Linked DNA regions of Drosophila melanogaster. The gene in region 1 interacts genetically with each later gene. Each region holds a gene or a part of one and is shown in the gene's direction. Other genes may lie near its edges. The genes, in order: hid, Dronc, Drice and Dark.

What was found.
Region 2: of hid (region 1) and Dronc, changing one suppresses a phenotype caused by changing the other (phenotypic suppression), as found in Drosophila melanogaster (9 studies listed by BioGRID).
Region 3: of hid (region 1) and Drice, changing one suppresses a phenotype caused by changing the other (phenotypic suppression), as found in Drosophila melanogaster (6 studies listed by BioGRID).
Region 4: of hid (region 1) and Dark, changing one suppresses a phenotype caused by changing the other (phenotypic suppression), as found in Drosophila melanogaster (3 studies listed by BioGRID).

Annotation. Positions count from the first base shown.
Region 1 is NT_037436.4:18,181,478-18,188,195, reverse strand, and holds the start of hid (head involution defective), read left to right. Parts: upstream 1-2,554; 5' UTR 2,555-3,073; coding exon 3,074-3,404; intron 3,405-6,718.
Region 2 is NT_037436.4:9,965,500-9,972,470, forward strand, and holds Dronc (death regulator Nedd2-like caspase), read left to right. Parts: upstream 1-2,979; 5' UTR 2,980-3,388; coding exon 3,389-3,835; intron 3,836-4,344; coding exon 4,345-5,250; 3' UTR 5,251-5,503; downstream 5,504-6,971. Other genes in the region: CG6685 (uncharacterized protein), read right to left, coding at 1,973-2,122, 2,188-2,281, 2,335-2,542, 2,606-2,795; CG6674 (uncharacterized protein), read right to left, coding at 5,711-6,103, 6,165-6,473. UniProt on the Drosophila melanogaster protein: Involved in the activation cascade of caspases responsible for apoptosis execution. Effector of steroid-mediated apoptosis during insect metamorphosis. Overexpression promotes programmed cell death.
Region 3 is NT_033777.3:29,796,645-29,803,023, forward strand, and holds Drice (death related ICE-like caspase), read left to right. Parts: upstream 1-3,013; 5' UTR 3,014-3,253; coding exon 3,254-4,273; 3' UTR 4,274-4,940; downstream 4,941-6,379. Other genes in the region: Rnb (R and B), read right to left, coding at 1-106, 165-240, 302-849, 926-1,132, 1,198-1,536, 1,594-2,187, 2,265-2,357, 2,464-2,625; Etfb (electron transfer flavoprotein beta subunit), read right to left, coding at 5,305-6,015, 6,146-6,196.
Region 4 is NT_033778.4:17,017,309-17,026,964, forward strand, and holds Dark (Death-associated APAF1-related killer), read left to right. Parts: upstream 1-2,718; 5' UTR 2,719-2,933; intron 2,934-4,081; 5' UTR 4,082-4,092; coding exon 4,093-4,482; intron 4,483-4,603; coding exon 4,604-5,241; intron 5,242-5,294; coding exon 5,295-5,418; intron 5,419-5,481; coding exon 5,482-5,672; intron 5,673-5,776; coding exon 5,777-6,021; coding exon of another isoform or gene 6,022-6,029; exon of another isoform or gene 6,030-6,080; coding exon 6,081-6,270; intron 6,271-6,343; exon of another isoform or gene 6,344-6,389; coding exon 6,390-7,983; intron 7,984-8,044; exon of another isoform or gene 8,045-8,050; coding exon 8,051-8,170; exon of another isoform or gene 8,171-8,225; coding exon 8,226-8,372; exon of another isoform or gene 8,373-8,436; coding exon 8,437-9,120; 3' UTR 9,121-9,395; downstream 9,396-9,656. Other genes in the region: Paip1 (Poly(A) binding protein interacting protein 1), read right to left, coding at 1-491, 755-1,600.

The DNA of each region.
Region 1 (6,718 bases):
GTTGCATTTTGAACACAATCTAGGCGTACAAATACGAAACTTCTTTGAAAAAGTATGGAAAACATGGCTACTGTCTTTGTGTATCCAGAAACTGCGTGCTATTGAATTTATAACACGCAAACGGTGCTGCCTCAAGTTGATTTCATCACCCCCATTCAAAACACTGTTATCTGAAAACCCCACCCATTTTTAAAATGGCCTGTTCAATCGCGCATTTTTCAAGACAACACATTACTGTTTATTTTGCTTTTTTCTGGACACTGACAGCCAATTCGACGACACAGTGCACTCATATTACGCTTAATCAGTTTCGTATCCAAATATTTTGTATTTATTTTGCACTGCCTCGAGTAATTGGAGTTGCGAACGGGAAAGATATACAAATAATATAATAAAGGCGATCTAAAAACATAAGCAGAGCTGAGGGAAAACAAAAAATAAATCACAAAAATCGAGCCCCTTTTTTCCGATTAATCCCCGTTTTCTCCGCCTTCACGTACTTTTGTTCTTTTCGCTTTGGACTTCTTCGCTTGTTGCATGCTCGCTCATGTTCATGTTTTTTATGTCGTTTTGTGCAAGAGTGTGCTTGAATTTCGTCATCTTGGGAAATCCTTGCATAATGTACATATTCATGTATGTTCATCCATACATACTTACGTACATACATTTGTCGTCGAGTCGTTTAGCTTACGTGTTATCGCACTTTATCGGCATATTTTTGACCTCAATCTTAGTTTATTAAATAAAGAGAGTTTTTGGGTGAAAACAAAAAAGGTGTCAGGTAGGGCTAAAATCATTTTTGATTTTAAAAATTTAAGGTAATCATTTAAGGGATATGAACAAGTATAATAAAACTAGATTAAATGCAAGTGCATTTTCTTCAGAATTTTCGACGGGCCTCTTTTATTTTGAAATATGGGCTATTAAACTAGTTTTAGGTCTAGAATCTAATTTGTTTTAAATTATATTGCGAACATTTTATAATACCACATTATTAAGAGAGCTACTAGAGCTACATAGATACAAAGCTAATAAATGGATCTAAAGTAATGCCAGTTACGAGAATTATTTGCCGTAAAATTTAAATTAAAAGCCAAGAATTGTTTTACGCGTATTTCGTAATTTTTTTCAAGCGTTTTCGCGCGCAAAGTTGGGAATGACAGAGAAGGAAATAGAGAGAGAGAGAGAGAGAGAGAAAAGGAGAGGAAAAAGCCTGTTTGTATAATGTGTGGGAGGGAGAGGGGAAGATGCAGAGGAAGACAAGAGTAAGAGCGAAAACAGGTTTTTCATGTTGCACAGTCAATTTTTGATATATGGTGAAATTGATTAAATATAGCCAACATCCAAATCGGAAATGTAATTAGCTAAACTCCTTATCGTATATTCAAAAACACGTTTGAAATGTTTAATGTGAATGAACGCCAACTAAATAGTCTTTATTACATTGCTTGAATACCCAAAATATAAAACAATTTAATTTATTTTATTAAATACAATAAACTAGCTAATCATTCTCTGCATAAATGTACATACATACATACATATGTACATTCATTTAGCCAGTAAAACCTGAGCTAAGCAAGTTGGATCCTTTGTTAATCATGTTGCTATTTTTCAAATTTATATTCAAAAAAAAAGTATTGAACATTATAAAATTGTGAACTTCCCTTCTCAAAATATTTTAAAATGTGAGAAAGTAATCAAGCTTTGTCTAAAAACTCCCTTTTTTCTACTACCTTTTTAACTCATTTAATCCGCTCATAGAATATACTCCCATTTATCATACTCTTTCTACTCCGGTTTTTTGGCCTCTTAAGAACGCTTGCTCTCCCTCCGCTCTCTTGTTTAAACAAATACAAATCAAAACCGAAAGCAAGAGCAAAGTGCAATAACGAAAACCACAAGCAAAGAGTGTTGTACAATTGCAGTTTTTGTTTTGCTTTAGCGTTCGCTAGGCAGCGCAGTCGGATATACTGCCTCTTCGCTACTTCTGATGAGTTTTCTTCTTCTTCTGAATTTACCTGCTCGACAAGATCTTTGTGTACCCACACATACACGCGTACACAGCCTGCCCACACACTCTTAGTTGAAACGAGAAAGAACGTTTTGTAAGAGTACCAACTGAGACATACCCTTCACATTGTTTGTGCATCTAAATATGTACTTTATGTTGTAAGTAAATATGAGTTATAAAATAGTGTTACTTCAGCAATTAGTGCGCTGGTACAATATTTCAGTTTTTTCAGTATGCGAAAGCCAATCAATTAAATTTTTACAACCTTAAAATCTAGATATGTTAACTATGCTCCTTGATGCATTTATGTAGACGCAATTCATGGTCCGAGTATACTCTTCCTCACTCAGCTATTACAGGGTAGGTAAAGAGCGGGATTTTTTAAAATATTTTTTTTCTCTCAAGTGTGCCTCCTTCATGCACGTGCATGTGCAGGAGAGGGAGCGAGAGAGATTGCGATTGCACTGGCTGCGCGCCTACGCTGCCGCTCTGCCGACGTCGCGGTAGAGGCTCTGTTGCCGTAGTTTGAGGCCCCAGTGCGAACAGTTCATTTTTAGCCGCGGAGCCAGTAAGACGTGTTTCCTGCCCTCTTTCTTTGAGTCTGCGACACGTTTTAAGTGCTCTTCCATAATTGACAACAGCAAAAGCAAAGAATAAAAAAATAACAAAAAATAAAAAACGAAATCCATCGTGAACAGTTTTGTGTTTTTAAATCAGTTCTAAACACGAAAAGGGTTGATGAAAAACGCAGAAGAATCCGAAAAACTAACTAACCGAGCAAAAACTTGACTTGAGTGTTGTTTGACAAATCAGGAAAGATAAAAAACAAATCATAAGAAAAAACTGCACGAAAAATGAAAAAGTTTCTAATATTCAAAATCTTGCACAAGAAATACAAAATCAATTAAAGTGAACTCTAACCAAAAGTTGTACACAAAATAAAAAGCAAAACAAAGCAGCGAAGAACAATCACAAGAAGAGCAAAGTGCCAACAAAGTGCAGGAAGGAAGGAAGCGGATAAGGACAAAAAGGAAGCCAGCACACACACACACCCACACAATGGCCGTGCCCTTTTATTTGCCCGAGGGCGGCGCCGATGACGTAGCGTCGAGTTCATCGGGAGCCTCGGGCAACTCCTCCCCCCACAACCACCCACTTCCCTCGAGCGCATCCTCGTCCGTCTCCTCCTCGGGCGTGTCCTCGGCCTCCGCCTCCTCGGCCTCATCTTCGTCCTCCGCATCGTCGGACGGCGCCAGCAGCGCCGCCTCGCAATCGCCGAACACCACCACCTCGTCGGCCACGCAGACGCCGATGCAGTCTCCACTGCCCACCGACCAAGTGCTATACGCCCTCTACGAGTGGGTCAGGATGTACCAGAGCCAGCAGAGTGGTAAGTCTACAAAGATCTCAATTCTCCACTCTTAAGAACTTTGAAATTGTGTGGGTTAATCAGGATATCCATTTAGTTTACCTCAAATACATTTGCAGATACAAAAATAAGTTTCGATTCATATACGGTTATTAATTGCGAAATGTTTAAGAAGTTCCCACACAGAATAACTGCTTACGCATGTTGGTAATATATTTTCTAAAATGCTTATAACCAACACTTTATTTAAGCCCACTTGTTTTGCTATTAACAAGAAGGATTTTCATAGGATCTCCTTGTAAAAGTAAACAAAAAATGTTATTAACTTGAAATTGCTTAAAGAATAGTAAATTTATTTCTTTCGAAAAAACAGCATTTTAAATGTTTGAAGATATTTTCAAACTAATAGATTTGATCAATAAAAAATGGCGAACAATTTTTTTCTATACAAGCGACTTTAAAGGTTTCATATTTTTGATTACCGCTTTTAATATCATTTAGTTTAGTTTAAGAAAGTTTCTGGACAGCCGGAGGGTTTCCCTCATTTTAAAATGGGTCAGCAATTAGCCAAGTTGTGACGTTATTTGTTAACTGCTTCAGTTCCCCTTGTGCAAGTTTCACTTTTCAAGGTTGTTGATTCATCCAGTTTCGAGTAACTGCGTCAACTGCATCCAGGTTGTTTTTGTTTACTTTTACCCAGTTTTTTTTTTATTTTATATATGGTCAATTCAGCACTTTGTCAGCTTATCAGCAAAAAAAAAAGTGTAAAAGGCAGAGCGGAAGGCAAATTTCTCGGCCACATTCGAAAGGAAGCCGAAAAAACGGTAATTCAATAAAAATTAATCGAACAAGTTCAAAAAGGGGAAAATTGAGAAGTAATTGAGAAGTTTCGATTGGAGGAGAGAGCAAACTTAATAAACGAAGTCACAAAACTGCAAAAACTCAAAATCATGTGGGGAATTACTGGATCAAATTCCCAAAGTGGGAATCTTACAAATTAAAAAATTTTGTATTGAGACAAAAATCTACTTATGTTATAAATAAATGAAAATAAAGTAGAAATGGTGATAACTAGCTCGATAAATCACATTAAGATCAATTTCCTTCGGTCATGATTATCTAAACTAGGCTGATAAAACTTTTAGTGTGCTATGGCTTTAAGAAAGAAACGCCGAGACACATGCAAGACAACTGCCGAGTTGGCTGTCATGCGATATTGTTCGTAAATATGGTCAAAAAATTGGGCGTGTGCTGGACCAGCAAGAAAATAAAGACCTGGCTGAAACCAGGGAAACATAACCCAGCGGCAATAAAACAGAGCTGGGAGCACAGAGCTAAGCACGTTTAATTGGCACGCGCCAAACTCGAGTCGAATGTCTTACTTTTGAGACTTTTGAGTGAGTGTGGTGTGCCTGTGTGTCTGGGTATCTGCAAGATATCTATCTATCTCGAGCGTACTGCTCGTATATCTTACCACTCGACTAACCCAAATTATTAAACGCCATTTGACCTTAGGCAACTAGTTTTCCGATTTTCCAAAAGGGGGCCAAACGGGTTGAGGGTGTGGGCCATTTGCAAAGTGTTTGACTTAACGGTTGTTTAAGTAGCTTTTGTGCTCGGCCACGTTGAGTGCGGTCAGTTTTTATTGTTTTTCTTTTTTTTGCGCGCGCGCTTTTCATGTTTGCTTTGCGGTTTTTCATTCGCGTTCCTTAATTTTGTGTTGCCTTTGCATAATAGATTTTGTCGCTGTCGATGATTGCCAGCTGCGCTCTTTGGTTCCACCGAACAACCGAATTGTTACTTTATATTATTTTGCTGTTTTATTTGGTTTGTTACCTTTTTTGCTGTCAGCAACAGTTGGTCAGACGAAAAAAAAGCGTTCCCTTCTCGAAATTACAGTGAGTCACTTTTGGGCGCTTCAATCTGTTTTCGTCTATAATATCATAATTTATACAGAGATACTTTTTTTTCGCTTACGAGAGCTGATGCCCAGTGAAAATTCGATTGCGGGGCATTTATTTTGAAAAACGAGCTAAAAAGACTTGACGTTATCGTGAAAGTTTCGATTTAAAAGTAATTTTCCCTTATCTCATTTTCCCGAACCACATCTAAGCCCCTACTCAACGCACGCCGATCATGTACTTTAGTTAGCCACTCAAGAGGATAATTTATCTAATCGTGACACATCCCGAAACTAGTGAACAATGCTTGAAGCCCTTGAAACAAGAAAGGGATAAACTGTAGTTAACCAAGAAGCGAGAACCCTTTTTCCTGGTTCCCCCAGCTATGCCATACATACACACATACATGCAAGCCAGATTCACGGAATACTTTTAGCCAGAAACGCGCTTAGTCATCAGCCAGCTATCAACCCTAAAAGCCTAAAAATGCGAGGCGCAAACAACCCCGACAAAAATTCCTAAATACCAACAGAGCTTTTCCCTACCAAAAGCAAAAAAAAAAATGCGGCAGGGAGCCTTTTGTTTTGGGAGAGGATTATGCATACAGCATCCAGAGCCCACCACGTAACCCATTCCCAATGGCGACCAACAAAAGGTGCAATGACAGCAGCGGTTCCCTAATCAGTGATGGGAACAGGTACATTTTATCTGTTGGCTAATTGGATGCAGATTAAAAGATGCGTAAACCTAGCGGTTATTATGTAAACTATTATGGACTATTACTTTTTTGGTTCAACATTTAGTTATTAACATAGATTTTTGTTATCATAGATAATAATATGTACCTATGTAGGTACAGTGCAGAGTACAAAAATGTTCCCCACCGTACTCAACTCCAAGTTTTGGTCGCTCTGCTTTGGCTTGCAAATTCGCATCATTCGCTTTGCTGTTGCCAACAGCTGTTCTGCTGCTAGGCGTTGTTTTTCGCTGCCGGCGTCTCTGCCGCACTTGACATTTTCAACCATTTTGTTTTGCTCGGCAACTTCGTGTAGGTGGACTTTAGTAGAAAAGAGGAGCCATAATGGCGGCAAAAATGGCGACTCCTGCCGCATCCTGCCTGGCAACAAAACACAGCTGACTGCTGCGCAGATAGAGCGAGATGAAGCCTACGCCTGGAGAAAGAGAGGGAGCGCAAAAACTCCGATTAACCGCAAGTTTTGAACTCCTCTTTTTTCTGCACAGCATCACAAAGGGGGTGGGAAAATAGGAGGAGGGTTGGATGGGAGGAGGTTTGCCTCCGCTTTTCATCATCGTCATTTCCATCTCGATTTGCTTGGCCTGTTGCCAAGCTGATTTATACGTACAGGCGGCTTTTTATATTTTACATACTTTGCATTGCTTTTTTCTGTTTCTCTCGTTGTCTGCTTTATTTTT
Region 2 (6,971 bases), 8.2 Mb from region 1:
TGATAAATATATGCAATCAACTAAGAGAGAATCGTGTACCTACATACAACGTACCTAGCACCATAGAAACCAAACTTATCACAGAGCTTTACAGCAATCGCAATCAAAAAAAAAAAAAAAACAAACAAAAAAGTAATCAATATGAATAACCACGAATACGAAAGGAACGTTTATTTTTTGGCCAAGAACCTCGAGTGATCCCGCCTGCGCTTTATAGTGATGAATCCCACATAAATCTATGTATATTCTATACCCATCATTCAATTCATTCAATATATACACACTATGATCAAACGTAATAGATAGCTCCAAAAAAACACCCAAAACTACTACTAAGGTGAATATACACGAATCCAATCCAAGGTCCACCGATCCGAAATAGAACCAGAGCCAGTAATTACTGAAGCCGCTGTACCCGAAGGCAATCTCAAACTCAATCTCAGTCTCACATTTATAGTCAATTTGTATAGTTGGGCAGCTATATGCGTAAAAGTGTGGTAATTGGTAATGGTAAACTCTTGAAACTTTATACATATAGTGAAGACTCACCAGTGTCATAGATGTATTCATTACGTAAACGGCAATTAAAGCGATTATTATCATTATTGTTGTGCTATGTTTAGCGGAGTAGAAGTGAAACCCGAAAAAAAATATGAATTTATATATGTATACAAAACGCAGCAGCAGCAGCAGGACGAACTCTATCTAGGACACATTAAAAACCACTCTACTTTATATACACATACTCGAATGATATGAATAAAAGTATGAATTACACGAACGGGAACGGGACAATCAAAATTCAAGCGACACTAAAACTAATTCTATATCAACTATCAACTAACAAACAATTGCAATTTTAAGTTACGTTGTTGTCGTTCGTTGTGTTTGTTCGATTCGTTGGATCTGCGTTTGGTTAATGCCAGCTAATTTGATCCTGAAACTCCAGCATATCCTTGCCATGCACCTGAAATTGCTTTGCATTTTGTTCGGTCCGAATTTGTTGTTTATTTATTTCACCTTAGACAAGCATATCGATATGGTTTACTAGCGTTTAATCGTACGTATATATAATTAGATTTACTTAATTTTAATTAATGTTTACGCGACAAGACAGAAACCTAAACACAAGAAACAAAAAAAAAAATTTAAAAATGAAAAAATTAAAAACAAAATCTAAATCAAAGAAAAAGGGGAAAACCAAAAGCTCAAACTGGACTGAACATTTAAGAGTTATATTATGTACATTATTGAATTGCATTTGATTGTGTGAAGATCGTTTTAGTGCTAGTAACTGCGCCTAAAACAAAAGGGTATTATATTTGTATTCGAATTTGTATGTAATTCTGATCGTATGTACGTTATGTTATCGTAAGTGTACCATCCTAGATCCTCTAATGAATTGAATTGAAATGAAGCCAACTCTGTCTCTTGTGATTCTATTGTGATGCTATGGGAGTCAAGCAGCACTCAACTGTTTTTATGCCTCTTAAAGTTTAAAACAAAGCTAATCGTAGCAAAACCTAAAACTAAACTACCTATCTCTACACTAGTCTATGCAATGCTAATTGGCAGCCCCAACAATTGAAAACAATCATGCACAATAAATGTTATGCAATTGAGAGAATCCAAAGGCCAAAGACCCACAACTTTTTCTTACACTACTCGAAGTAATTGTGTACAACTAAAGGAATTCTAGATTTTAAATGTGCTAAAACTGTTTATAGTCAAGTACTTAATTAAGAGTGTAATTATCAAATATTAATACGTACAAAGGTTGGGGCATTTGGCATAGTAATACTAATAATGTATAAACGTGGGATCCGATGATTTGATTGATGATAATGGAGCGGTGCAAATGCGTGTGACAATGTACGTATGTAACAAACAATTGAATTTAAATGTTTAATAAATGTGTGGAAATGAATAAATGCTCTGTGTGCTAAATTCCTCAATTACTCAATAACAGCCTCTACGTTAGCTTCTCGTCCAGGAATAGTGGATCCAAACTGCACTTTTGCCGCTGTTCCATGTAATCCAAAAACTGGTGGTCAAATAAACGCTGCCCCATGCTGCGTGCCACATCGTCGGATTCGTCGGTGTTTGCCTTCTCTATGAGCAGCTGTTGGCATTAGGATTTCCTTTTTTTTTAACTATTTTGGAAAGTTGATGCAGCCTTCTGCTCACCTCAATTTCCTTGGACAAAAATTCTTTGGTCGCATCGCTCATCTTCTTTTGCGGCTGGCCCATCAAAGCGTTTTCCAGAAACTTGTAGGCCTCACTGAAAGTACCACAATGCTAAATACAAATGTAGTTTATCAAAACCATTCCTACTTCAAGTCAATGCCGTTCAGTTCCGTTGGCGATGGCTTTGTCTCATTTTGGATTATGGAGTTCACAACGACGGCTGCTTCGAATTCGCAGAGTTCAGCGAGTTGCGAACTTTTCATGAGCTCCAGCCACTGGTTAATGTTGTTTAAGCTAACGGAGTCGCAGTTTTTCACCATTTCCTCGCCCTTGCCAATCATGTCGGCCACATACTCTAGAAAAGGGATTGGGGGACAATGTACTTTTATTGCATTATGCATGTTTTAAGAAAACTCACGGAGAATGCCATTCGAATTATTTTGATTTTGCTGCTTGGCTGCTTCGAGCAGGATTTGCTGTGAGTAGCCCAGTCTGTTTAGTTGCCTTTGCAGCTTAACTTTCACCTCTCTCGGAATCCTTGCAGGCTTTTCTGCGCCTTTTTGCGCGGAGTTTTTCGGTTCCGGCGTAAATTGTTGCTCCTCCTCCATTTCTTTTGTTTATGTTTACGGTTTGTTAGGCTGACCCCATATGGTATTTGGTATTTAGTATTAAATTGAATCATTTGATGCGGCAATGAAGGAATGGTGGAATAAGTGGAACATGGAGACGGTTCATGTCATGGATTTATCCCGGACGCGTTCTCTGGTTAAAATGGCGCACCCACAAGCAGCCACACCAATCCCAAAGTTTCATTTATTAGTTTAGTGGCGAGTTTGGCGGCGCGAAACGCTCGTTGGTCCTTTTGTTTCGAAAGAAATCCTATTCGAAGATCCCCGATCCTTGCTAGGATCATCTAGTGCAATATATAGACTAGTTAATTTACTTTTGGAAAAATAAGGACACCAGCAGGGCCGCCGATTTGTGCCCCTTTCTTGAAAGTCGCAAAACAAAAACAACGACGACAACAACAAAGCGGAGACAAAGAATCGACAAGTAGCGATAAACGAAATCATTCCCGGGAAAACCTTGGAGACGGGTGATTCACTGCCAATACCACTGCCAATTGGAGACTGATCACGGCAGCCATCCTTGGCGCGCCCAATAAGCGGAGTCACCGGAACGCGTGGAAGCCATATCCGGAATGCAGCCGCCGGAGCTCGAGATTGGAATGCCGAAGAGGCATCGCGAGCATATACGCAAGAATCTGAATATACTGGTTGAATGGACGAACTACGAGCGTCTGGCCATGGAGTGCGTGCAACAGGGCATCCTAACCGTTCAGATGCTAAGAAATACGCAGGATCTCAATGGCAAGCCATTCAACATGGACGAGAAGGATGTGCGTGTGGAGCAGCATCGTAGGCTCCTATTGAAGATCACCCAGCGTGGTCCCACCGCCTATAACCTGCTGATCAATGCACTGCGCAATATCAATTGTCTGGATGCGGCCGTTCTATTGGAATCCGTCGATGAGTCCGATTCAAGGCCACCCTTTATCTCGCTAAACGAACGGAGAACCAGCCGGAAGTCGGCCGATATTGTGGACACACCCTCACCCGAAGCCTCCGAAGGACCCTGCGTTAGCAAGGTAATGAAAATAAAATCATACGAAAGCTTTGATGGTGAAATTGCAGCTCAGGTCATTGACCCTGATTTCTACAAAAAACCGGTTTATGGCACAATTTATTTGCATTTTTTTTTTTAGGTTTGTTAATTGAGTTATTCCTATTGGAATGAGATTAGAAAAGGTATCTTTAAGAATTGTAAATGGACTCAATGATGAATACTACTTTGGTACATGTGCACAGTATTATTTGCTTCTCTTTCAGAAGTTAGTTCGTGTATGAGATTCTTGTTTTCCATTTTTTTTGGAAGCATGAATCACATCCATTCTACTTACCTATCCCAATTATTCTTTTAGTAGGATTTGTTTTTAACCAGAATCTTATCGCAATATTGCTGGCAGCTGTGTTTATATAGCACGAATGTTGATTACTTCTTTGTCTGCCACATTAACCGTGCAATGAAAATATAATATATATATTGAAAATCTTATCTTTATTGTAATTTGTTCTTTCTTTCTCTCTCCTACCAAAGCTCCGGAATGAGCCGCTGGGAGCACTCACCCCTTATGTGGGTGTCGTTGACGGTCCCGAGGTAAAAAAATCGAAAAAGATACATGGTGGGGATAGTGCCATATTGGGCACATATAAGATGCAATCACGTTTCAACCGAGGCGTTTTGCTAATGGTTAACATAATGGACTATCCGGATCAAAACCGTCGACGGATCGGAGCCGAAAAGGACAGCAAGTCGTTGATACACTTGTTTCAAGAACTGAATTTTACGATTTTCCCCTATGGGAACGTGAATCAGGATCAGTTCTTTAAACTTCTGACAATGGTGACCTCCTCGTCGTATGTGCAGAATACCGAGTGTTTCGTAATGGTACTGATGACACACGGCAACAGTGTGGAGGGAAAAGAGAAGGTGGAGTTTTGCGATGGATCTGTGGTCGATATGCAGAAGATCAAGGACCATTTCCAGACGGCCAAATGTCCTTATTTGGTGAACAAGCCGAAGGTGCTTATGTTTCCCTTTTGCCGCGGCGATGAATATGATTTGGGCCATCCAAAGAATCAAGGCAATCTCATGGAGCCAGTGTATACGGCGCAAGAGGAGAAGTGGCCTGACACCCAGACGGAGGGCATACCCAGCCCGAGCACCAATGTGCCAAGTCTTGCCGACACTCTGGTCTGCTATGCTAATACGCCGGGCTATGTTACCCACCGCGATCTCGACACGGGCAGCTGGTACATCCAGAAGTTTTGCCAAGTGATGGCCGATCATGCCCACGACACAGACCTTGAGGATATCCTAAAGAAGACGAGCGAAGCCGTGGGTAATAAGCGCACCAAGAAGGGTTCCATGCAGACAGGTGCCTATGATAATCTTGGCTTTAATAAGAAACTCTACTTCAATCCCGGGTTTTTCAACGAATAGTTGCCGCCACTGGACATTTTATCATTCCGGATGCATTTTTAACCGCATTTATGTTCTTATCGTCGCATTTAGTATGTCTTTTAGATTATGTGTTCTGTGCTCGCGTGCTATAAAATGTTTATATTGTAACAAATACTCATTCAAGTATTCTTCTAATACGTATTGCATACCTCATTTAAAGGTACGAAATTATGTAATTTATGTGATAACTGCCAGAAATCTACAAATATTATAATACAGAGTTCCAGTATATACACAGCCAGATTTTTGAAATCGAACATTTAGGCAAAATGTAAAGCAATTTTCCAGTCTGATTTTTGAGTGTGTACACTTACAAAATAAACGATGATATTTCACAACAAACCGCAGTTTGTATATAATTAAAATCTATTTACATTTCTAAAATTTCATTGGGACACTAATTATTATATAATATAATCTTAGGATCATACATTTTAACCTAATCATCCTGCTCATCCTCCTCCGCCAAGTGGGACAGTTGTAGTTTTCCCGCTGCACGGCTCTGTTCCGATTTGGTTTTGCATTTCTTTGGCTTATGCGGCTTTTGGCCAATTACATACTCAGGCATCACCAGCTTGGAACCTCTTAACTGCGGCTTATCCAGCTCCACATCATCCACCTCCTGCTGTTTGAGGCTCTTGAGCTTGCGGCTGAGTTTGCTGGTCCTCTTGAACTCGATCTTGCCATCTGTAGGTGGAGATTCGTTATCGACGCCCTCAGCCTCGCGCTGTGCATCCATTTGTCGCAGGAAGGACAAGGCGGCGGCGGAGTTGCTCTGTTCGGAAATGTCCACATCAGACAGGGAGTACTTCTTCCATTTGTGCGGGTTTACCTAGAGAGTAGGTCAAACGTTTAGGGTGGGGACAACTAATTGCAGAGGGATGGTCTGTCACCTGGTAATCTGGCGTTTTTCTTGGCTTCAAACAGCGTCCAATGGGGAGTTCGGGCTTCTTGAAAATGCTCTCCTTGCCGCGCATTCGTCGCAGTCTTCCATCCTCCGCATCGAGGCCAGTAACAATGCTGCGACCCTGGCGGTAGTTCATCACCTGTCCGGATTCGTTTCCGGATTTGTTTCCTCGATCGAGGGCATTGATGGAAAACGCCTTGGCCTTGCTCTGATCCAAGGCAGTTCCCCGCAACTCTTTGCTCGCATCGTCGAGACATGCGAAAAGAGCGTCTCGTTTGGCTGAAAATTCCTGCATTTTACTTAGTTAAACTGCACAAATGGCATTTGCTTAAATGCGTTGTGTTTGCAGAGGTAACTTTGTTTGCTGCAAATCAGCTGTTTTCACAGTTACCGTTTTGTATTTTCATCTAGTATTTTAGTAACGTGCAGTATTTTTAGACTATTAAGGCAGCTATTAAACCATTTCCTTTTCTATGGATTAGTCTATACTATGTGAGTTAACTGACATCATAGGGTTAAAATACTTTTTAAACGTAAATTAACAGATTTGAATTTATCCCATTCTATTTCAATATAGTAGCAGTATGATTGGTATTCTCTGCAAACTAAGATATCTTGGAATTTCGGCCCACGCAAACTCTGGTCAGACTGGTGCCGGTGTATAAACTTAGTGTGGAAGAAGTGTGCTCATTCGCGAATATAAATAAATTAAACAGCCAGGTGGATATTGAATAAAACTAACCCAAAGGCGTGACCATGTGTATAGTGTGCCTGTCTCAAAGGACGATTCATC
Region 3 (6,379 bases), on another chromosome or scaffold:
ATATCACATCGTCGCAGCGCAGGAGACGCACTAGCTCCTCCTTGCCATAATTCGATTCTCCCACATTGGTTAACGTCTCCAAGAAGGCGAAGCCGTCTTTGCGAATCTGAAATATACGTGCGGTGTTAACTGTGATGAACATTAGATGAATGGGCTCACTTTACCTCCTTCAGCTTGGTAAACTGGTACAGTTGATGGACCACGCCATGCTTTATTATCTGGGCAAAGAACTGGCTCTCACTGAAAGGATATACGTGCAATTAGAATACATGCTTATCCTTAGTTCAGCTTGACAACTTACAGTAGAATATTTGTCAGGGCATTTGGGAAATTATTGTTCGATCCAAACAATTTGATGGCTCTAATCAGAGTGTCGAGCGTCTCTGGCTTTCCCAGCTCCACTCGCTTGTTCACCATCAGCGTGATGCGATAGATAAGGTTTTCTATTATGTCAATGGTGTTGCATGTTGTATTGCGGAACGGGGCTAGTTTCGGTGGTACATCCGAGCTCAGTTCCTCGAGATCCTCTTTGTCGGACAGCGGATCATCTATGGGTTCGCTGCCCTCCTCAATTAGTTTCAGTATATCCAGAACATTCGAAGGCTGCGAACGATTGGCGGCTATGCGCCGCTCTCTTGTGTCCAAATTGCTATTATTTGTGCTGTCATCCTCATCTTCGTCGTCATCACTGCACGCCGGAGAATAGTTGTCGTCGTCATCATTCGTCAGCAGATCTGTGCACACCGGTGACATGCTGCGCGAACTGCAGGGACTGGTTGTGCGATAAGACCTAGGTGAACTGCTCGGCGATTCAAAGTCCGATCCTAAGGTCTCGTGGGTTTTTGAGAACTTGTGTGCAAAAAGTGGGTATAATTAGCAAGTGGCTTGTAAACATATGCTAGCTGCTATGCTGCTAAATAAATACCTTGCTCAGCGTCTCTGGCGTTGTGGGATCCGTCAGTTTTCTTTTTTTACCACCTTGCAGTCTCTCGTCTCGTCGACGTTTGTGATGCTCATCATCGCTGGTCAGGTAATCGTTTAGTTCCCGCACCAACATGGGCATTAGTCCTTCATACAGCATGAGTTCCATGCTTAAGTTATCATATTGGAAGTTGTAAAGTATGTGAAATAGCTGTTGGGTATGAAGAAAGCCATTATATATAGCAGATGTCAAGAGGGATTTGGTTTCCATCTCACCGATGATCGCTCGCTCTGCGAGTTGGAGTCCCGGATCATGGCCACCAGCTTGCGCAGTGCCCCACATCTCCGGATCTTCGAGCGGCTGCAGGCATCGGTGGATAGCGTCAAGATTATGTTGATGCAGTGCCGGCTCTCGCTTTCGCTAAGTGGCTTTGCCATGTTCACAGCCATGAGCATCTCGCAGGCAGCCACAATGGCATCCGCAGTGCTCAGCATGTAGAAGGCGAAGGGATCCTTGCAGAAGTTAGAGAGGATTTTAAGGGCAGAGGCCCGTTGGTCGCCGTCCTCCTTTACGAAGCACACAATGGAGGCGAGCGAGGTATTCCAGGAAATGGACTAACAAGAAATGTTTATTATGTACTACGTTTTGGAGAACTTAGAAAACAGTCTCACCTCCCAAACTTTCAGTCCAATTTGCTGCGCGGATATCAGGACCAGACACTTCAGAATCTCGAGGGCCAGCTCAACGGCCGCTTCATTTTCCTTGGGCAGCGCATAGTCACAGTTCCTTGTGGAATTCTTGAGCATCTGGTGGTCAAAGATGTCACTGCGAACACCCTCCAAATTCCGGGCTACCTCCTCGAAATACTTCTCACGGTGCTGGTTCCTCTTCAGGCCAATCAGCGTGGACATCTCGATGTCCGGAACGGGCTCCTTGGATGCCTCTTCGTTCTTCATCACGGCCAGAAAAATTCGCATCAGCTGCTGGAACCCATTGGCCATGAGGAAGTACTTCAGGAACTGGCTGCTGGCCAGAAGGAAACGGCAGACGCGGAATGCCATGATGCGGGTCTGCACCGCACTGGTGGACTCAATGATGTGGCAGATGGCCGGTGCAATGGCCGCATAGTGCACTGTGAGACACTGGGACGCCTTCTTGCTCTTGGCGATGTTTCCAAGCATCCGGCAGGCGCGGCACTGGATCAGGGGATTAGGTATGGTCTTCAGAATGGTCACCAGCGGGTGAATCACCTTGCATTCAACAGCCTTAAAGTGGAAAGTTTTAAATTTTTTTAACCGTTGTGGTTCAAAATAAAGATAAAAATGTAATCTGATAATCCCACCTCAATGCAGGACTGTTCGTCGGTGCAGCAGTTCCCCAGTATGCTCAGTACCACCTCCATTATCTTTTCATTCAGCTTGGTGATCAGTCGCACCTGGAAGACGCAATTAATAATGATTTAAAAATCGATTCGAATAACGATCCTATGTGAGCGGCAGTGGCTGTCAAACCACCATGAGCGTTGTGACTCCCAAACCCACCATGATGTGAACGCCCCCAGCAGTGCGAAATAAAACAATGCCATTTTTATCCTTCACCAGATCGGTGCGCAGCTTCACCAGGCATTTGTAAATGACTGTTCGATCCGTGGAGGTCTTTAGCACTTCCAGCATGCTCTCCACTTGCTCTGGTGTCCAGAACATTGGTAATTTTCTTAATTTTTAAACAAATTGAAACAATTCAACAAATTCTACAGTGCGTCTCAAACCTCTTTGAGAGTGTGACCGTGCATAAGAGCGTATTTTACGGTATTTTACGTTATTTTTCGAAAATCCAGCAGCGGTCTGCCTTATTTATAAACTGATGTTTACGTTTTAGCTTTGGATGCGAATTCGATTCTACAATAATAAATGGAAGCAGGCCTGTTTTTTATGTAGATTATACAAGTTCCCACAAAATTACCTCCAAGCTTTTAATTTCAAATTATTTTAATATTTTTTAAAACCCATTTAATAATTTTTCCTATATTTATTTACTTTCTTTGTTTACCGTAATCGTGACACGAGGGCTGAAGTGTCATCACCAAATCAGGCGCTATTTGGTGTTTTTCAACTGCCAACAACGGTCTTACAGAATTAAAGACAAAAACGCAATCGACTAAAGTAATTAGTTAATAACTAGCTGTCTTTGTTGCGCGTAAACACGGACTTTCCCCAGAACGAAGCTAATTTGCCCAAGTCGTGCATCCAAGCTTTTCACAGATTTGGAAAAACCTGTTTCGCAGTGCTTGTGACTCATCAGTTTTCGCAGGCTCAAGGAGAGAACTTAGCCATGGACGCCACTAACAATGGAGAATCCGCCGACCAGGTGGGCATCAGGGTGGGCAATCCGGAGCAGCCCAACGATCACACAGATGCCCTGGGCTCCGTGGGATCCGGAGGAGCGGGTAGCAGCGGCCTGGTCGCAGGATCCTCGCATCCTTACGGCAGCGGAGCCATTGGGCAGCTGGCCAACGGGTACAGCTCACCCTCGTCCAGCTACCGTAAGAATGTAGCCAAAATGGTCACCGACCGCCATGCAGCCGAGTACAACATGCGCCACAAGAACCGCGGAATGGCACTGATCTTCAACCATGAGCACTTCGAGGTGCCCACCTTGAAGTCTCGCGCGGGAACCAATGTGGACTGCGAGAATCTGACTCGGGTGCTCAAGCAGCTGGACTTCGAAGTGACCGTGTACAAGGACTGCCGCTACAAGGACATTTTGAGGACAATCGAGTATGCAGCGTCGCAGAATCACAGCGATAGTGATTGCATCCTGGTCGCCATCCTGTCGCACGGCGAGATGGGCTACATCTACGCCAAGGACACACAGTACAAGCTGGATAACATCTGGAGCTTCTTCACGGCCAATCACTGCCCCTCGCTAGCCGGCAAACCCAAGTTGTTCTTCATACAGGCCTGCCAGGGCGACAGATTGGATGGCGGAGTGACCATGCAGCGTTCTCAGACGGAAACCGATGGCGACTCCTCGATGAGCTACAAGATTCCAGTGCACGCCGACTTTCTGATCGCCTACTCGACGGTTCCTGGATTCTATTCGTGGCGCAACACCACCCGCGGCAGCTGGTTCATGCAGAGCCTGTGCGCCGAACTGGCGGCCAATGGCAAGCGGCTGGACATCCTGACCCTGCTCACATTCGTGTGCCAGCGGGTGGCCGTGGACTTTGAGTCCTGCACCCCGGACACTCCGGAGATGCACCAGCAGAAGCAGATACCCTGCATAACCACCATGCTGACGCGCATTCTGCGTTTCAGCGACAAGCAGTTGGCACCAGCCGGACGGGTTTGATGGCTAATGGTATGGATCAAACGGTGGGTACGGCGAGGTGTGTGATAAACCAAGTCGCAATTAAGTTAGAACCTCATGGGCTATCGGCCTTGCAGCATATTTTTTATACAACACTTTTTTAACCTGCCCAATTGCTCGACGAGATTGGTGCCACTGCCCGTTTTATTTTATTTAGGCACAAAGTATCTTTCGATTGACATTTATTAATGTCGCATTTACTCGTCTGTATTTATATTTTTTGGGGTGGGTAGAGTAGATCGATTTAACTTAGAAATCTAAGAGGTTTTTACTCCGGCCAAAATTTTTTGACAATTTTAACTTGCCAACTGAACAAAGACGATCTCAAAATTTTAAATTCTCTACTAAACCTTATCATAGAACAACTTGCGCCTCTTTGATTCTCGATCAGGAATGTCGGCCCACCCTTATCTATATCTACCTTAGACCATTTACAGACAAGACCTTTTTACAATTTTATACACATAGATATCTTTATAGTATAAGCCTGTGTGTCATGGTCGTCCAAAACGAAAACAAACGATTTTAGCCTGTAGTCGAGTGTTTTATGAACAATATATACTATTTCTATGCCATTTGTACTCTTATATAATGCACATTAGCAAATGTTCTCCTTTCAAGTTAACCGCTAATAAATCCGATTGAAAACAATGAGAAATCAATGACCATTGGCTGTTTGCTGTTGACCCTGTCGCCTCTTTTGGGCGCCAAGTTGAGCGGCATTTCCCGAAAAGGTAGCACGCGGAGACGGAAAAATAGACGAGTCCAGCCATTGGCTGACCCTGATCGTACGATTTCAGAGCTTACAATCACTTTATTCTTAGAGCTGGACACAACGAGAATAAATTCCAATTTATAGTTCACTTAAAGCACACGGGTATGGGTTGAATTCAGAGAAATTTAAAGCCTGTCAGCAAATCCGACTCTCCGGCTAGATAAATGCACGTTTCTGATAACTTTCGACTAATTAAAAACGTAGAATATGCGCTCACAATTTTCTAGTTGAGGAACATCTAGATGTGGCCGCCCTCCTTTAGCTTGGCCACCAGGGCATCCACGTCGGCGACGGTGGCGCCGGCCTGGCGCACAGGAGGATCCTCCACGGAGATGACCTCGATGCGGGGCGAGGTGTCCACGCCGAGATCCTTGGCCGTAACCTTCTTCAGCGGCTTCTTCTTGGCCTTCATGATGTTCGGCAACGTGGCGTAGCGAGGGGTGTTCAGCCGGAGATCGGCGCTCAGCACAGCCGGGGTCTTGGTCTTGATTGTCTCCAGGCCACCATCAATTTCACGCGTGATGGTCAGACCGGCGTCTGTCTTCTCGATCTTGTTGCAGAAGGTGCCCTGCGGCCAGTCGAGCACGGCGGCGGTCATCTGGGCCGTTTGGTTGGCATCATCGTCGATGGCCTGCTTGCCAAGGATGACCAGGTCGGCTTTTTCGTCAAGAGCCAACTTGGCCAGAATCTTCGACACGTGGATGGGCTGCAGAAGCTCGTACTCGGCGGCCGGGATCTCTACGTGGACGCCGCGATCGGCGCCCATGGCCAGGGCGGTGCGGATCACCTCCTGCGACTGGGCCGGGCCCACGGAGACGGCGATCACCTCCTCGGCCAGCTTTTTCTCCTTCAGCTTCACCGCCTCCTCCACGGCGATCTCGTCGAAGGGATTCATCGAGTGCTTCACGCCCTGGGTGACCACGCCAGTCTTGTCGGGCTTGACGCGCACCTGGACATGATAAATGTAACCTGAATTAGTTTAATTGCCGCTTAATTAAGGCGATTACGCAAAACAGAGCGCAACAAGTGATAAAAAGACAATGGGACAAGATGCGCAACAGGCGACTTTTCAGGCTCACCTTGACGGCGTAGTCGATCACACGCTTAACTCCAACCAAAACACGCGCCATTTTCTGCCAAATTAGTTATAAAATTGATGAAATTTACGGAAATTTACTGAGTTTCAAGAACTTACCTCTTCAAGATGGAAATGAACTGATTTGTTGGCGGCGGGGGCGCGGGTGGTCCAAAGGTCTTCTCCGGCTACAGCGTTGCCAGACAGAGCAGCCGATTATTTGCAGCTATAAAATGTC
Region 4 (9,656 bases), on another chromosome or scaffold:
GTGATGATCTCCTGTATGTCCTTGGGGCAATCGGCTGTCAGATCATATCCAGCCAGCTTGAGGGTCTGGCACAGGCAGCGAACATTTTCGTTGCTCTCGCTGGCCAGCAGCTTACTCAGCGAATATACAATATTCACAGCGATCAACTGGATGCGCGAGTCGTCGTCGCCGCGCAACTGCATGTACAGCTCGGCCAGAAAGAGGGCAGTCTCGCGAACCTTCTGCTGCTCGTTGGAGCGCATGTACTTGGTCACTTCCTCCTGGTGGTAGTCAAGCTTGCACTTGAGCAGCGTGTGGAACAGCGAGTCCGGCTTCGAGTTGAGCATGTGCAGCAGGTTGTACAGCTTGGCGCCCATGTACCGGAAGTTCGGCTGCTCGATCGACTTCTCGAAGATGTCCTCCATGGCGATGGAGAGCACGAATTGGTTGTTCTCCATGCCATCGAAAATGGTCAGGAAGCGTGATGCAATCGAATCAAATTGGCCCGGATTCTGGATGGAGATCATTAATATGTCTGGTTAGTAGGAAATTTAGGTTTAAAACTTAAGATTAAGTTTGACTAGACTGAAATGTTTCAGCTGATTTTTTTTTTTACTTTCGAGCATAAATATATTGATTTTAAATATATTGTTATATTTAAAGAAAATATTAAGCTGACACCTATTAAAATTGATTAAATAATCATAAAACACTAAAAATATAAATCAAAGGAAGCCCATAATTGCCCTGATAGCTTATCAATCGAAATTCTCACCTGGTTAAGGCAATGTATGACTGTATCAAGATACTCCAGTGCTATGGTGGCCATGTCCGGCTGCGAAGAGTTCGAGGACGACGAGGAGGCCGCCGCAGTCGAAGTGGATGGCTGCGGTTGTTGATTCTGGTTCTGAATATACTGCTGCTGCTGTTGGTTGTGCTGCTGGTGGTGCGGCTGCTGCGGCTGGTTGTGCTGTGTTTGCTGTACGATTTGTTGGAATGAGTTATTCAAGTGGAAGTGCCGTTGAAACTTGGCGTGTTGGTTGTGTGGCTGATGCTGCTGCTGGTGTTGTTGGTGGTGGTGTGTGTTTTGGTGTACCTGCTGCTGCTGATAGTAGTTGCCGGCTGAGCCCTGCTGGCTATTCAGGTGCAGGCGATTCTGCACGGAATTCGTTAGCTTCTGCATATCGTTGTTGAACTTCTGCTGATGATTGTGATGATGGTTGTAGTGCGGCTGCTGGTGGTGCTGCTGATGGTGATGCTTAAAACCATTCACATAGCGCGGCTGCTGTTGGCCATAAGGAGCTCCTCCACCGGCTCCACCAGCCTGCTGGTATTGCTGATGTCGCGACTGCTGCTGCGGGGGAGCAGCTCCTCGAGGGATGAAAATTGTGGCCGTGGCCGACAGATTGGACGCATCGGACAGAGTCTGCGCCTGGGGTTGCATGGCCTGCACAGGAAAATTGCCAACCACCTGACCGTACGCCTGCGCTCCGGCGTACTCCCCAAAGAGATGCGCCTGCTGATCCAGTCCCGGCATGGCCACTCCGCCTGCTCCGCCGACATTCGGCCGGCGCAGCTGCTCATACTGATCGTCGGGCTGGAAGGGGGCGCGGCATGACATTGCGTTGGACTCGAAAACTGCAAATCACCAATCAGAGTAAAGTAATGGATGAGGATTAGTTTATCTAAATAAAGACAAATCACATTCGCCAGGGCATTCCCCAGCGTGGTTACGTTTGCAAGCCTCGGGACGCCGATTCAGACAGAGTTGCGGACATTTTGTTTTCCTACCACTGGTTTGTCGCCTTTCTTTTTTTATCTCTTTATTTTCCGCAGCCGGGTCAGTCGGTGTTTCCCATTGAAATGGACACGACCTATCCGACTCTACCGTGTGGTGGTGGGGAAATTGCAATGCCTACCTTAAATTTGTTCAAGTTGAATGTGTACGTCGCCGATTTTCGTTTTTGTTGCTTCGTTTTGCTGCGTCGTCACTTTCTCGTCTGCGTCTCTGATGCGCTGCTCCGAATTTCGTGTCTGATTTTGGGTGGGATTGCACGTTTTACTGGCCGTAAAAAATGTTAAATTGGACGGTGCGGGGGCGGGACGGCCGGTGACCGCTGAAAGGGAATGTAAAATGCTACGCACCTTTAATTTACACTGCGGCAATTTGTTAAAATTTATTATTTCGCCTTTTCACCGTCGGTGTGGTCGCAAGTGGCTAGTGAAAACTTACCTGGCAGTGAATACCTTTGTTGTCTGTGATATATCGATACGGCTCAATATGGTCACACTTTAAATAAAGTAATAAGTGCTAAACCGTTTTTTAGAAAATAAGCATTAGATAAACTACTTCATTTCGTACAAGAAAATCATGGTATTATTATAATCTTAGATCTAGTTGGAAAAGAGATATATATTTGGCATATATATATAAGGTGGCATATATATAACAAATTAATAACTAATAACAAATAATATATATTAAAATATAATAAGAAATTCTTAATATATAAATAAGAATTTATTATTATATATTATTTGTTGTCGGTTCAAAAATTAATTTAATCGTAATGTAAATTGTATTTCTTATTAAGAATATACAAATTCTCAATATCTTAAATCACGCAATATAATATCGAATTACAATTCAGATTACGATTAAAATCATTTTTGAACCACTTGACAACCCTATATATAATTCGATATTATTTCCCTCGCGTAAAACGGTCACACAGTCGAATAAATTCCGTTTTGTTATTTTTTGAGTACTACTCAATGAGTAGCATAGATTAGTACATTATTTATATTTTTTCAAGCCTTTAGTGTTTCGCTTAGAATGTGCTAGAACAATGTGAACAAGCCGGAGCAACTATATATTAAGGATAAAGTGCAATACTTACACATACAACAAAATACGAATAAGGACGACGATTTGTTAAAAATAAACGGCGAGCGTAAGTAAATATGCGTGCAGGTGAAAGCTTATGTACCTGTAGTGCTTTCGTTTTCTGTGCTCTACAAGTCCATTTGTTTAATTCTTCCATTGGGCCTTGTGCCTCCCCGTCAATCACAAATCCAAGGCACTGTGTGTGTGACTGAAACAATTGCATGCGAGAGCACTTACACACAAACATAACAAGTTCATTCACACGGCAAACTCAGTGACGTATCTTCTCTCTGCCTTTACGCGCTTATCTAACTGGTGATTAATAATTCGATCCGATTTTGGTTCTACGACATTGACGAGCGGAGGAGAACAAAAATGCAACCGGAATTGCCTTTTTCGATGGTTGCACCGCCAGCTCACGTATTCCTAGCTATTTAGAGGCGATCTCGTTCGCGTCCTTGTCGATTAGTTGTGAAATTACCGATGATCCAGTCGATCTCAGCTTGCAGATAAGGGATCTCATAGATCCATGGTATCGCATTTCTCTCCTCGAGAAGCCGTCTACGGTGCATTCAAATAAAGTGGGCCAAGCTTGGCGCCAAAAATTCCGCCATATGTATGTACACATATACATGCATACATATGTGCATTTGAAATGAACATTTTTTTGTTTTGATTTGTTTTTTTCGATTTTCTTGATTCTGTTCGCTAAGAGTTGCACCTGAGTTTTTATTGGTTGGTCCAACCAAATTTATGATTTGTGTGATTGCCCGACCAAGGAGAAGACAGGGATTCGGATTTGATTCAGCTTTATTATTAGAACACTCGATCTGGTTGCGTTAGTGTGAACGTGGAGAGCTTAGGAACAATAAAAGCTAGAAGGTTGATATTAAGAATACAGATTCTAGAGATACAGACGCAGCCCAAGTTTATTCACCCATGTTGCCACGCCTACCCTAACGCCCACAAACTGCTCAAAACTGTCACGGCCACACTTTTGAACCGTTTTAATTTTTATTTCTATTTATTTTGTTTTCGAATTTCTATGAGATAAAAATTTCCAGCAGAGTAACGGGTATCTAATAGCCGGAAAACTCGACTATAACATTTTCTTTTGTAATTAATGAAAATACCACAAAAAATAACCCAATGCCAATAAATTATTTCTAACATAGCTATAAAATTTAGTTACTATATAAATATTTACATATGTAGGTAACACGAATATGGATTTTGAAACTGGGGAGCACCAATACCAATACAAGGACATTTTGTCCGTGTTTGAGGATGCATTCGTCGACAACTTCGACTGCAAGGATGTCCAGGATATGCCGAAATCAATATTGTCCAAGGAGGAAATTGACCACATCATCATGTCTAAGGATGCAGTCAGCGGCACACTTCGCTTGTTTTGGACACTGCTCTCTAAACAGGAGGAAATGGTCCAGAAATTTGTGGAGGAAGTTCTCAGGATCAACTACAAATTCTTAATGTCGCCAATCAAGACTGAGCAACGGCAGCCCAGCATGATGACCAGGATGTACATCGAGCAGAGAGATCGTCTGTACAACGACAACCAAGTATTCGCCAAGTACAATGTGAGCCGCCTGCAACCGGTATGATAATCTCCCATTCGAAAAAAAAAACAATCAAAGAAGTCCAACGTACGAAACCGAAAAACAATTTTACTCTGTGGAATTGTTATCTAACCATACTACAATACTTTTTATATTTCAGTATCTGAAGCTAAGGCAGGCTCTTCTAGAACTTCGCCCAGCGAAAAATGTATTGATTGATGGCGTCTTGGGATCGGGAAAGACTTGGGTAGCCTTGGATGTGTGCCTATCGTACAAAGTGCAATGCAAGATGGACTTTAAGATCTTCTGGCTTAACTTGAAGAACTGCAATAGCCCGGAGACCGTGCTAGAGATGCTGCAGAAATTACTTTACCAGATCGATCCCAACTGGACAAGTCGTAGCGATCATAGCAGTAACATAAAGCTTCGAATCCACAGCATTCAGGCGGAACTGCGACGACTGCTCAAGAGCAAGCCATACGAGAATTGTCTCCTTGTTCTGCTTAATGTGCAAAATGCCAAGGCTTGGAATGCTTTCAACTTGAGCTGCAAGATATTGCTAACCACACGGTTCAAGCAGGTCACTGACTTTCTTTCGGCAGCTACCACAACTCATATTTCATTGGATCATCATTCGATGACGCTTACGCCGGATGAGGTTAAGTCTTTGCTTCTAAAGTACCTCGACTGTCGACCACAGGATTTGCCCCGGGAAGTTTTGACAACGAATCCCCGCAGACTAAGCATTATTGCTGAGAGCATTCGGGATGGTCTGGCGACCTGGGACAACTGGAAACAGTATGTGGATTATGAGTGTTCACACTGAATAAATACATAATTTTTTTTTGTAGTGTAAACTGTGATAAGCTGACGACCATCATTGAGAGCTCTCTAAACGTTCTGGAGCCCGCTGAATATAGAAAAATGTTTGATAGACTGTCAGTTTTCCCTCCATCAGCCCACATACCCACTATTGTAAGTGAGCACTGCACTTTACGGCATACATCTACTAATCGTTATCAACTTCCTGTTGAACAGCTCCTATCGTTGATATGGTTTGATGTTATCAAATCCGATGTAATGGTAGTGGTTAACAAACTTCATAAATATTCATTGGTGGAGAAGCAACCAAAAGAGTCAACCATAAGTATACCCAGCATATACTTGGAGTTGAAAGTCAAGCTTGAAAACGAATATGCACTTCATCGGAGTATCGTAGATCACTATAAGTATGTTCCTAGCCCTTTTCTTGATATCTTGAATTTTTGCTAAAATGTATTAACCTTAAGCCACGAGTAAGCCGTATACTGAGTGATTTTAACCTTTTTGTTAGTATCCCAAAAACATTCGATTCCGACGACTTGATACCGCCTTACCTGGACCAATACTTCTATAGCCACATCGGTCATCATCTAAAAAACATTGAGCACCCCGAACGGATGACTCTCTTTCGCATGGTCTTTTTAGATTTCCGTTTTCTAGAACAAAAGATTCGGCACGATTCAACTGCTTGGAATGCCAGTGGATCGATCTTGAACACGCTACAGCAGCTGAAGTTCTACAAGCCATATATTTGCGGTACGTAAATTTCTGAATCATTTGAAACAAAAAAAAAATGTAATCTTTTTTTCATGCAGACAATGACCCAAAGTATGAGCGCTTAGTCAACGCTATTCTGGATTTTTTGCCAAAGATTGAGGAAAATCTTATTTGTTCAAAGTATACGGACCTGCTTAGGATTGCCCTGATGGCCGAGGATGAGGCGATTTTTGAAGAAGCCCATAAACAAGTGCAGCGCTTTGACGATCGGGTTTGGTTTACTAACCAGTAAGTACTTACCAGCTATTGACTAATCAAACAAACAGAGCTGTCATTTTTAGTAATAATGAAATGTATATATATTAAAGTTACTTTATTATTATTATTTCACTTTTTCCTTTTATCAGCGGTCGTTTCCACCAGCACCGTCAGATTATAAACCTGGGTGATAATGAGGGGCGCCATGCTGTCTACCTTCACAACGACTTTTGCTTGATAGCGCTGGCCAGCGGGCAGATCCTGCTAACCGATGTTTCGCTGGAGGGAGAGGACACCTATTTGCTAAGGGACGAGAGCGACAGCAGTGACATTCTGCGTATGGCGGTATTTAACCAACAGAAGCACTTGATCACCTTGCACTGCAACGGCAGCGTAAAACTTTGGTCCCTGTGGCCCGATTGTCCAGGAAGGCGCCACAGTGGTGGTAGCAAGCAGCAGCTAGTCAATAGCGTGGTTAAACGCTTTATAGGGAGCTATGCAAATCTGAAAATTGTTGCTTTCTATTTAAATGAAGACGCCGGATTGCCAGAGGCCAACATCCAACTGCATGTGGCATTCATCAATGGTGATGTGAGTATTTTGAATTGGGACGAACAAGATCAGGAGTTCAAACTGTCGCACGTGCCTGTTTTGAAAACGATGCAGTCGGGAATACGGTGTTTCGTTCAGGTTTTAAAGCGATATTACGTGGTCTGCACCTCAAATTGCACACTTACTGTATGGGATTTGACCAACGGTTCCAGCAATACGCTGGAACTACATGTTTTTAATGTCGAAAACGACACGCCGTTGGCCTTAGATGTATTTGACGAAAGGAGTAAGACCGCCACCGTGTTGCTGATTTTTAAGTACAGCGTATGGCGGCTCAATTTTTTGCCAGGTCTTTCGGTTAGTTTGCAATCGGAGGCAGTGCAACTGCCAGAAGGAAGTTTCATCACCTGCGGAAAGCGTTCGACTGACGGACGTTACCTACTGCTGGGCACGTCCGAGGGACTTATTGTGTATGATCTGAAAATCTCTGATCCCGTGCTACGCAGCAATGTCAGCGAACATATAGAGTGTGTGGATATATACGAGCTGTTTGATCCTGTCTATAAGTACATTGTTTTGTGCGGCGCTAAGGGAAAACAGGTGGTCCATGTGCACACATTGCGCTCTGTAAGCGGCTCGAATTCACATCAAAACAGGGAAATCGCCTGGGTTCACAGTGCAGATGAGATAAGCGTGATGACAAAGGCTTGCTTGGAGCCTAATGTCTATCTGCGTTCTCTGATGGACATGACCAGAGAGCGGACGCAACTTCTGGCTGTGGACTCCAAGGAGCGCATTCACCTAATTAAACCGGCCATTTCTAGAATTTCCGAATGGTCCACAATCACACCCACTCATGCTGCCAGTAACTGTAAGATAAATGCCATATCCGCCTTTAACGACGAACAGATTTTCGTTGGCTATGTGGACGGAGTGATAATAGATGTTATTCATGATACAGCGCTACCTCAGCAGTTTATAGAGGAGCCCATTGATTACCTCAAACAGGTCAGTCCCAACATTCTGGTGGCGTCGGCACACAGTGCCCAGAAGACTGTGATATTCCAGCTGGAAAAGATAGATCCGCTGCAACCCAATGACCAGTGGCCATTGATGATGGATGTTAGTACCAAGTACGCGTCCTTGCAGGAAGGACAGTATATCATTTTGTTTTCCGACCACGGAGTCTGTGTGAGTGTTCTTAATTGAAGTTTATGCGAGTAAAAGTGCAGTATTTGATTTCAATATTTACCAACAGCATCTGGATATAGCTAACCCATCTGCATTCGTGAAACCAAAGGATTCGGAGGAATACATTGTCGGCTTTGATCTAAAGAACAGTCTTCTCTTTCTGGCCTACGAAAACAACATCATCGATGTGGGTTTGCTAAACATAATATCATTAAACAATTATCAATTATTTCCAACGACAGGTATTCCGTTTAATATTCAGCTGTAACCAACTAAGGTACGAACAGATTTGCGAAGAAGAGATCGCCCAGAAGGCCAAGATCAGCTATTTGGTAGCCACGGATGATGGTACCATGTTGGCTATGGGTTTCGAAAATGGCACTTTAGAGGTATACATACGTCTTACAAATTCGTTTCATAATTATTTCCTGCTAATTATACATTTCCCAACAGCTCTTTGCCGTTGAAAACAGAAAAGTTCAACTGATCTACAGCATTGAAGAGGTCCACGAGCACTGCATCCGGCAATTGCTATTCTCGCCATGTAAGTTGCTCCTGATCAGCTGCGCGGAGCAGCTGTGCTTCTGGAATGTGACGCACATGCGCAACAATCAATTGGAGCGCGAGCAAAAACGGCGGCGCAGTCGACGCCATAAGCAGCACAGTGTTACACAAGAGGATGCTGTGGATGCGGCGCCCATTGCAGCGGACATCGATGTAGATGTGACATTCGTTGCCGACGAGTTTCATCCGGTGAACCGAGGGACTGCGGAACTGTGGCGGAATAAGCGCGGCAATGCCATCCGTCCGGAACTCCTGGCCTGCGTTAAATTTGTGGGAAATGAAGCTCGTCAGTTCTTCACAGACGCCCACTTCTCCCACTTTTATGCCATAGATGACGAGGGTGTCTACTACCATCTGCAGTTGCTGGAGTTAAGCAGACTTCAACCTCCACCTGACCCAGTTACGTTGGATATTGCCAATCAGTATGAAGACTTAAAAAATCTTCGAATTCTCGACAGCCCACTTATGCAGGATTCGGATAGCGAGGGTGCTGATGTAGTTGGCAACCTGGTTCTGGAGAAGAACGGCGGAGTGGCGAGGGCGACACCAATTCTGGAGGAGGCCAGTTCATGACGCCAGAAGTGCGTCCCTAGGCGGCGCACGAAACAGGAAAGTCCAAACTACAACATGGCATTTATAGGATTACTGCTCTACTACCTGATGGTTTTGCTCTTCTACCTCCTGGGTCCGGATTTGTCCTAGGCAAACATTAGTTGTTGGCGCTTACATTTGCGAATGTATGCAGCTAACCAAGTATGATATCTCAGAGGGCGGTGGGTGCGTTGCCCTGCCTTTGTTTGTCAACGCGAGTAACCGCCACCAAATAAACGACATTTCACGAAAAACACAGAACGCGGTTTTGTTGTCTGCTCTTTGTGCTGTCCGTATGTATGTATGCATGCATGTCTGTGTGGGTGGTTGTGCTGTGCGTTTGTTTTGATTTCTGCCAGGCACGCCAGATCAAGTGTTGCAAAAGCATTGGTCCCGGGACAGTGCTGCTAAGTTCGTGTATGGATATCAGTGTTGCGGTCCAATAAATAGGTACGTATCTGGATTGTGGCTCGTCTACTTCTAAGCTGACTTAAATTAATAAAAAGGCTTTGGCCTCA